2 linked regions of the Drosophila melanogaster genome follow. The protein of the gene in region 1 interacts with the protein of each later gene in a biochemical or structural test. Each region holds a gene or a part of one and is shown in the gene's direction. Other genes may lie near its edges.

What was found. Proteins that work in one complex are often made in the same cells at the same time.
Region 2: of the proteins of Snr1 (region 1) and mnb, one has a biochemical effect on the other in vitro, tested with the Drosophila melanogaster proteins (one study listed by BioGRID).

Annotation. Positions count from the first base shown.
Region 1 is NT_033777.3:5,468,920-5,472,673, forward strand, and holds the start of Snr1 (Snf5-related 1), read left to right. Parts: upstream 1-2,006; 5' UTR 2,007-2,139; coding exon 2,140-2,411; intron 2,412-2,905; coding exon 2,906-3,746; 3' UTR 3,747-3,754. Other genes in the region: POLDIP2 (polymerase (DNA-directed), delta interacting protein 2), read left to right, coding at 1-111, 167-520; mRpL44 (mitochondrial ribosomal protein L44), read right to left, coding at 642-1,540, 1,593-1,659.
Region 2 is NC_004354.4:17,873,085-17,876,838, reverse strand, and holds the start of mnb (minibrain), read left to right. Parts: upstream 1-1,798; 5' UTR 1,799-1,959; coding exon 1,960-2,434; intron 2,435-3,438; coding exon 3,439-3,584; intron 3,585-3,754. UniProt on the Drosophila melanogaster protein: Role in the specific control of proper proliferation of optic lobe neuronal progeny.

The DNA of each region.
Region 1 (3,754 bases):
CCCTGGCTGGACATGAGCGATGTACACAAGGAGACCACGGAGAACGTGCGCATTACCGTGATTCCCTTCTACATGGGTTGCCGGGAGACGCCTGCTAGTTCGGTCTACTGGGTGCGTTAATAAGAAACTCCTTTCTTTAGTTTAACGTCATAAAGTACCTTTCCAGTGGCGCTACTGCATCCGACTGGAGAACCTCGGCGAGCTGAGCGTGCAGCTGCGCGAGCGCCACTGGCGCATTTTCTCACTGTCTGGAACCCTGGAGACGGTGCGCGGAAGAGGAGTGGTGGGCCAGGAGCCCATTCTGAGCCCCCGGCTGCCCGCCTTTCAGTACAGCAGCCATGTGAGCCTGCAGGCTCCCAGCGGCCATATGTGGGGCACCTTCCGGCTGGAGCGCGAAGACGGATACTCCTTCGATTGCAAGATTCCGCCCTTCTCACTGGAGAGCAAGCCGGACGACCTAGGGACGCCCACACCGGCCACGCCCAGTGCCCACGATAAAAAGCGCGACGATAGCGATTAAGAGGCAGTTGTTCACCCGTAGTTAAATGATTTTAAAACGCAATCTTTTCTGACAATGCATGCGTACATGTGTTTAGTGCAAATTACAATAATCAACAAGGACGCAGAGCCAGTTTTGATTCTCAGCCAAGTCGCACGGTCTTTGGTTCTAGCTGAATGGCAAAGTCAAAGGGTCTCCGGTTGTCGCGGGTGTCAAAGATGCTCTGCAGAGCGTCGAGTGCCGCAGTCTCTGTGGCTGTTTTCACATCTTCACCGAATCCCTTGCCCAGTAGCTGCCGGTTGGCGTAGATGCCTACTTGGTAGGCGGCTAGCACAGTGTTCTTTCCGCAGTCTCCAAGCAGGCGGGGCTCCGCTTCGCCCAGCTTTCGCTCCTGGCATATCTTCTCCAGCAGCTGGATTGGTTCCTGGGGAGTCCACACCTCCAACAGGTCCTTTTGATTCAGTTGCGTGCAGATGAAATCGCGTACAAAAATGAAAGCCCTCTCGATTCCACTGGAACTGGCCAGGGCGCCAATAACTGCGTGTAAAGATTTGGCCTGACTTTCGGCCGAGGGCGGGTATTCCGTAGACTGTATCAGATCCTTTGTGCCCAGGTGGGTCGAGACGTGAGCAAGCGTTTCGGTGCTAAGTAGATAACTGGCGATCGCCTGGAGTCCTTCATTAGGGACCTTCGGTAACTGGTGCTGCAGGAAGGCCTCAACGTAGGCACGGGCAATTTGTTGGCCCTTCTCGACCAGATCGCTATTGTGAGGCATCTGGAGGTCAGACTCCTCAATGCCTAGCTGCCGACGACGATCCTCCTCCCGCTCTGCAAACGATTTCTCTGTAAAAGCACGCTGCAGCTCCGACAATTCAAAGGATTCGCCCAAACGCTTGCCGAACGCGAAGAGCTCCGATCGCTGGTTCCACTCCACGAACCCAGAACGCCGCTCTGGCTTTTGTGGTCCTAGTTTCTTCTGCCGGTGGGCGAGCTCACGTAACGTTGGCGAAACCCATCGCTTGATGTGGCGCCTCGTTTGCACTGCCGAAAATCACGATTACTGACTGGCATTAGGTGAATCCGGGTTACTCACCAGTCGGTGAGCCCTCCAAGAGCTTGACACGAGCCAGGAGACCAACAGCACTGCGTAAGAATGACATCTTTAAAGCGATCTTAAAAATAAGTAACGAATATGTTTTCGCGCATGGGAACTAGTGTTGCACGGGTTTTTGTGGCAGTGATGGCAGTCTAACCGTAAATATAATTTTATAACTTATAACTTAACTTATACATTTTAATAATATTTGTTTCTTGTTGTTTCTATATTTATTCAGAGATGTATAATTAAAAAAAAATAATAATAACTAAATATGTTTCTTTATGAATTATAATTTTATCATTTAATCGAGTAATTATAACGAAAAATACTTTCAGCTTTTTATTTAGCGTTTTGTAGCTAAAAGGCGCCAGTACTAAATTGCGTTGGTGGCACCCGCTCGTTTTCCAACACTCCCGCAATAGACGCCATGTACATGTCTGTGTTTGTGTATGCGCCAAGAAAATTTAAGTCGCGGAATATTAACAAGGAATCCCTGCCAGAAACAGGGCATTGAGAGACCACAGAAGAAAATATACCCAACATGGCACTGCAGACATACGGGGACAAGCCGGTGGCCTTCCAGCTGGAGGAGGGCGGCGAGTACTACTACGTGGGCTCGGAAGTGGGCAACTACATGCGCCACTTCCGCGGCATTCTGTACAAGAAGTACCCGGGAATGACCCGCATCGTCCTGTCCAACGAGGAGCGCAAGCGGCTGGCTGAGTCCGGCCTCAGCTCCCACATCTTAGCCAGCTCTGTATCGCTGCTCCGCGCCGTAGAGGTGGATGATATCATGGCCGGCAACGATGAAAAGTAAGTGGGCGTCTTACCTAAGTAATGTCCCCAGAATAGTAACTAAATAGGGCCTTTCCTAAAAATTCCAATTAACTTCGTTGATATCTACTTCCTACTAGTCCTACTTAAACGTTTGTTTTTAAATGTTTAATCCAATGGTATCAAGTAATCCTTTTATCAAATATAAGACATGTGTACATTTGGCTGAAGATTCTTCATTTTAGTAACATTGTTAATGACCACTTAGTTAAAAACCACTTATCATTCTGAAGTGAAGACGTATACAAACACACATAGCCACACACTGCCCAGTTATTTTGAAAAAATATGGAAAAATGTCATAGACATTTTTGGCAAAGCTGCCACAATAGTCTGTATGATTGACAACGATTTCCAATTGAGCACGGAGAATTGTATTATTGTCAGAATGTTGGGTAAATTTTGCCTGCTTGCAGGGCCAATCAGTCAATTTGCTAACAGTTGATTTAACTAACCATGAATCTCCGTCCCAGGTATCGCGCCGTCTCCGTGAACACTTCCGATACGCCAGTGCCGCGGGAGAGCAAGTCAAAGAAGCAGCCACAGTATGTGCCCACGATGCCGAACTCCAGCCACCTGGACGCAGTGCCACAGGCCACGCCAATCAACCGAAACCGAGTGCACACGAAGAAGGTTCGCACATTCCCGATGTGTTTCGACGACACGGATCCCACGGCTAGCCTGGAGAATGCGGCGCAGAAGGAGTGCCTGGTGCCCATTCGACTGGACATGGAGCTAGAGGGTCAAAAGCTGCGCGACACCTTCACGTGGAACAAGAACGAGAGCATGATTACTCCGGAGCAGTTTGCCGAGGTGCTGTGCGACGACCTGGACCTCAATCCCCTGCCCTTTGTGCCGGCTATTGCACAGGCCATCCGACAGCAGATCGAAGCCTTTCCCAACGATCCCCCCATCCTCGAGGAGACCTGCGACCAGCGGGTCATTGTTAAGCTGAACATTCACGTGGGCAACACCTCGCTCGTCGACCAGGTCGAGTGGGACATGTCCGAGAAGAACAACAACCCCGAGGAGTTTGCCATTAAACTCTGTGCGGAATTGGGATTGGGAGGAGAGTTTGTTACGGCCATTGCCTACAGCATTAGGGGTCAGCTATCGTGGCACTGTCGAACGTACGCCTTCAGCGAGGCCCCTCTATCAACGATTGATGTGCCCTTCCGGAATCCCAGCGACGCTGACGCATGGGCGCCATTCCTAGAGACGCTTACCGACGCCGAAATGGAGAAGAAAATCCGCGACCAGGACCGCAACACGCGCAGAATGCGACGACTGGCCAATACCACAACTGGTTGGTGATCTTCCGC
Region 2 (3,754 bases), on another chromosome or scaffold:
TCCTGCTCAGGCGAGGAATGCAACAATGTCACTGCATTCATTCAGTAAATAATATGTCCAACTGTTTGCTTATCACTCAACCGTCACCGTCTGTATTTGTTCCAATCCGCACTGTTTTGAAAAACCCGTAAGTCTATGCGGGACTTCCCCATTATTTGCCAAATATGTCGAGACTTTAGTATCCGATTAGCTGGCGCCGCCATCTGTTCATAAAGTTGTCAAGTGGTGGGTAATAGTAGTATTACAGTCGCAGTCACGTCACGATGTGAGTCACCTGCTCCGGATGCAATTATCGATGGTGTGTGATTGTTGGTAGTGGCCCTATCCCCCCCCCCCCCCTCATTCCTCGCCCAAAATGCAAGTGGCCAAAAAGGTGGCGGGGAGCGAACGCAAAATGTCGTCAACTATTTTTATTTTCGGCCGAGAGACGCGACAGACAAACAACGAACATGAGAACTTTGGGGCAAAGATCCCACATTGCGAACGGAGGATCGGATCGGATCGGATCGGATGGGATCCCTATAAATAGAGGGACTGGTGGCTATGCTCCTGCGAATCTTTCGAGGGGCCCCGAACGCATTAATTATTCAACTCTTCCATCGATTGGCAAGCGTTCAATTTGTTTATTATAAAAGCAAAATATTTTTTAATTGCTTTGGCGAAATGGAAAACACAAATTAGCTTGGCGTGTAGACAGACATTTACATAACTCGAAAGAACACAAGTTTATAATTATTTCAAAATCGTTTGGCATTACTGGGCATTTTAGTTTCGAAAACGATTTCCTATTTTTATGGCCCACTCTGCCAAGTGGCAGCTCAACCAGTTATACAGTTTTGTAACGCACTGCATTATGTACACACACTTTTTGCCTGGGGTTAATTACATTTTATTTTAATTTCACATTTCGTTTGCTTTGTTTTGATTTCCTTGACTTGCCGACGACGCAAAAGCCGAAACAAAGAAATGCATACTTACATATGTATGTATGTATGTATGTATGTATATTTGTATCTTTGCGCGCACGAGACAAGTGCGAGCACTTTCCCACCCACAACCACCCAGCGTTCCCCCATTTACCCCACATGCATTCGCTACATGTCACTACGCTACATGTCATTATTGAAATGCCATTATCAACGAAAAGCGGAACTCCCTCTGTCAAAAAAAACACTTGTGATAGAAAACAAAAGGCCAGCCAGAAGTGAGCTTTTCACCAACAATAATGGGGGAGAATACCTAAGAAAACCGATTTATTCGTTTGTGGTTAATCACAAGCAAGTGCAAGTAACTCTGTGATCAATATGGAGATACTGAAAGGTATTTACCCAACACTGTTTCAATCAGTTGAGCTTCTTCAACACCAGAGATGTGCACTCCGAAACAAAGGTCGAAAGGTATGGATTTGACCAAGAGATATCACCAAGAGATTTTTCTATTTCCCATTTACTCAAATGCAATTGTGCAACACTGAACGAGTCTAGTGTAGTGTTAATATAGCGAATTCCGATGCCAGATAGCCGGGCATTCCCTACTTTAGCTTCATGATCATTACCACGCCGAGATCGTGATGATCGTTGCTGCAATCTCGCTATCGGCGCTCGGCTTCGTTCGTGTGTTCCGCATAAGTGCAGCAAAAAAGTGCAAAAACACCAAGTGAAATAAAAGAGCAGGGAGAAAACACGGTTCCGTATAAATAAAACAGACGACAACAACAACAACAACGACGAGTGGCAAACTTTGGGGACAGAACTGGGGGAACAAAAACCGAGGCAGTTTGCGCTGAATTTTCACACGAAACAGACCGCGCTTCATACAGCCAGATCCAAATGGATCTTAAATTACTTAAATAAACTATATAAAAATAAACGAAATAAGCATATCATTTTGATTGAAAAAAGGAAGCGGTTAGTGCAAAGTGCGTTCGCGATTCCGATTGCGATTCCGATTGCCAGTGATATGTCGACGGCCCTGGTTTATTGGCAGTCAATGAATGGCGGCGATCCGGTTGACAAGGCCACCGCGGATTGGGCGCCATTCGTGGTTGGTGCAGCAGCTGGTGGCAGCTTCAGTAGCAGCATCATCACCAGCAGCAGCAGCAGCTTGAACCACCATCCGCACAACGGCCACCACAATCACCATCATCCGCCTCATTACATCAATTATTTGGCGCAAATTGGCTGCCAGCATCGTGTCAGAAATTGGCCAACAAATGGCAATCAGGATCAGGCGGATGACGACGACGCTGGCCATCAGATCATCTCTAAATTCCTGCCCAAAAGTGCCTGGGACACGGTGCTGTTGGATGTGAAGCGGGATGTAGATGAAGATGGAGATAGAGATAGAGATCGGGTCGATGGCAATGTGCTGATGGTTCAGGGATCGTCATCATCATCATCGAGAATGAAGGCGGAACGGGCACTCTATTATACTAGTAAGCCCATTGGATGAAACAGAGAAGTTGGCCTAGAAAAATTTGTTGCATGTCAGTTTAACTGACCGACAACTTTTTTTTTTGCGTTTGCACAATTAGTCAACGAATAGAAAGGAAAAGTATCTTTGCTCTCGCCACATGTTTTTTTGGAAATTAGAAATGGAGTGTTGGAATATCAAATGTCGCGGATTATCATCGAAAACACAGCTGCTGCCACTTACAGGTTTTACCCTGTTGCTTGATTTTTTCATTCTTGTTTATAACGTTGGGTCTATTTTTGTTGCACAAGCCATCAGCGAACGAAGAGCGAAGAGCAACAAAACAAAAAGAGTGAGCATGTGAAATGGTCATAGGAACGTGGGGAAATAGAATCTACAAACGGCAGAATTATGTATCTGCGCCTGCATATTGTGTAATAATTTCAGTTCAGTTCCGTCTGGTTCTAAAATTAAGGTAGAGCTTCTTTTTTACTTACCTCTGCTGGCCTGCCAATGCACAGGAAAAAAATATTGCTAGCAAAAGTAGATTCTTCGGAAAGGAAGAGAAATGTTCCAATTCGTTTTTTTTTATATGGCAGCATCATGTGCTTACTATCTTTAACTCACTAGTATGACCACCAATTCAACAACTAATTTTAGAACGAATTTTGCATCTTGAGTTAAAAAAAGAATGCATGACTCTGGGCTGGCTCTATATCAGATCTTAAATGGGAATTGGCAGTGTTTTTCCTGCGGTGTGTGTCCACACTTTTCGCCCTACCCTTTGCTTTTATTATCGTTTTGGCAACTCTTGACGCTGACGTAGTCAGGTGTGCAAGAAAACAGGTGCATTTTGCAGAGGAGCGGTGTCCGAGCGATCCGGTCAATGAACCAGCACAGAACGGCGCACAACGAAGGCGGCAAGCAAATACATCGCAATAATTATATATACACACATATATATTTGTATAATTCCCGCCGATATCTGATAGTATCTCTGATCTCTTCCTTTCTCTTACGCTCTAGTGTCCGCTTATGGGTCCAGCGGCGGCAGCGTCGACGCAGCGCAGGGCAGCGGAAGCGGGGGCGGAAGACAGCGCCACGCCCCACTCTACGGGCGATTCGTCGACGCAGAGGATCTGCCTGCCACGCACCGGGATGTCATGCACCATGTGAGTATTATCAACTAGCATTATCCTTATCTTCAATCCAAAACATGCATTTACACACAAAGGACATGCAGAAGTTGTGTTTCTTTCTTTTAGAAATTGTAGAACATTTTTTGTTTAGAAAAAATCCACAAATATTTCAACGGAGCCGTGTAAAAGATAACTTTACTTCG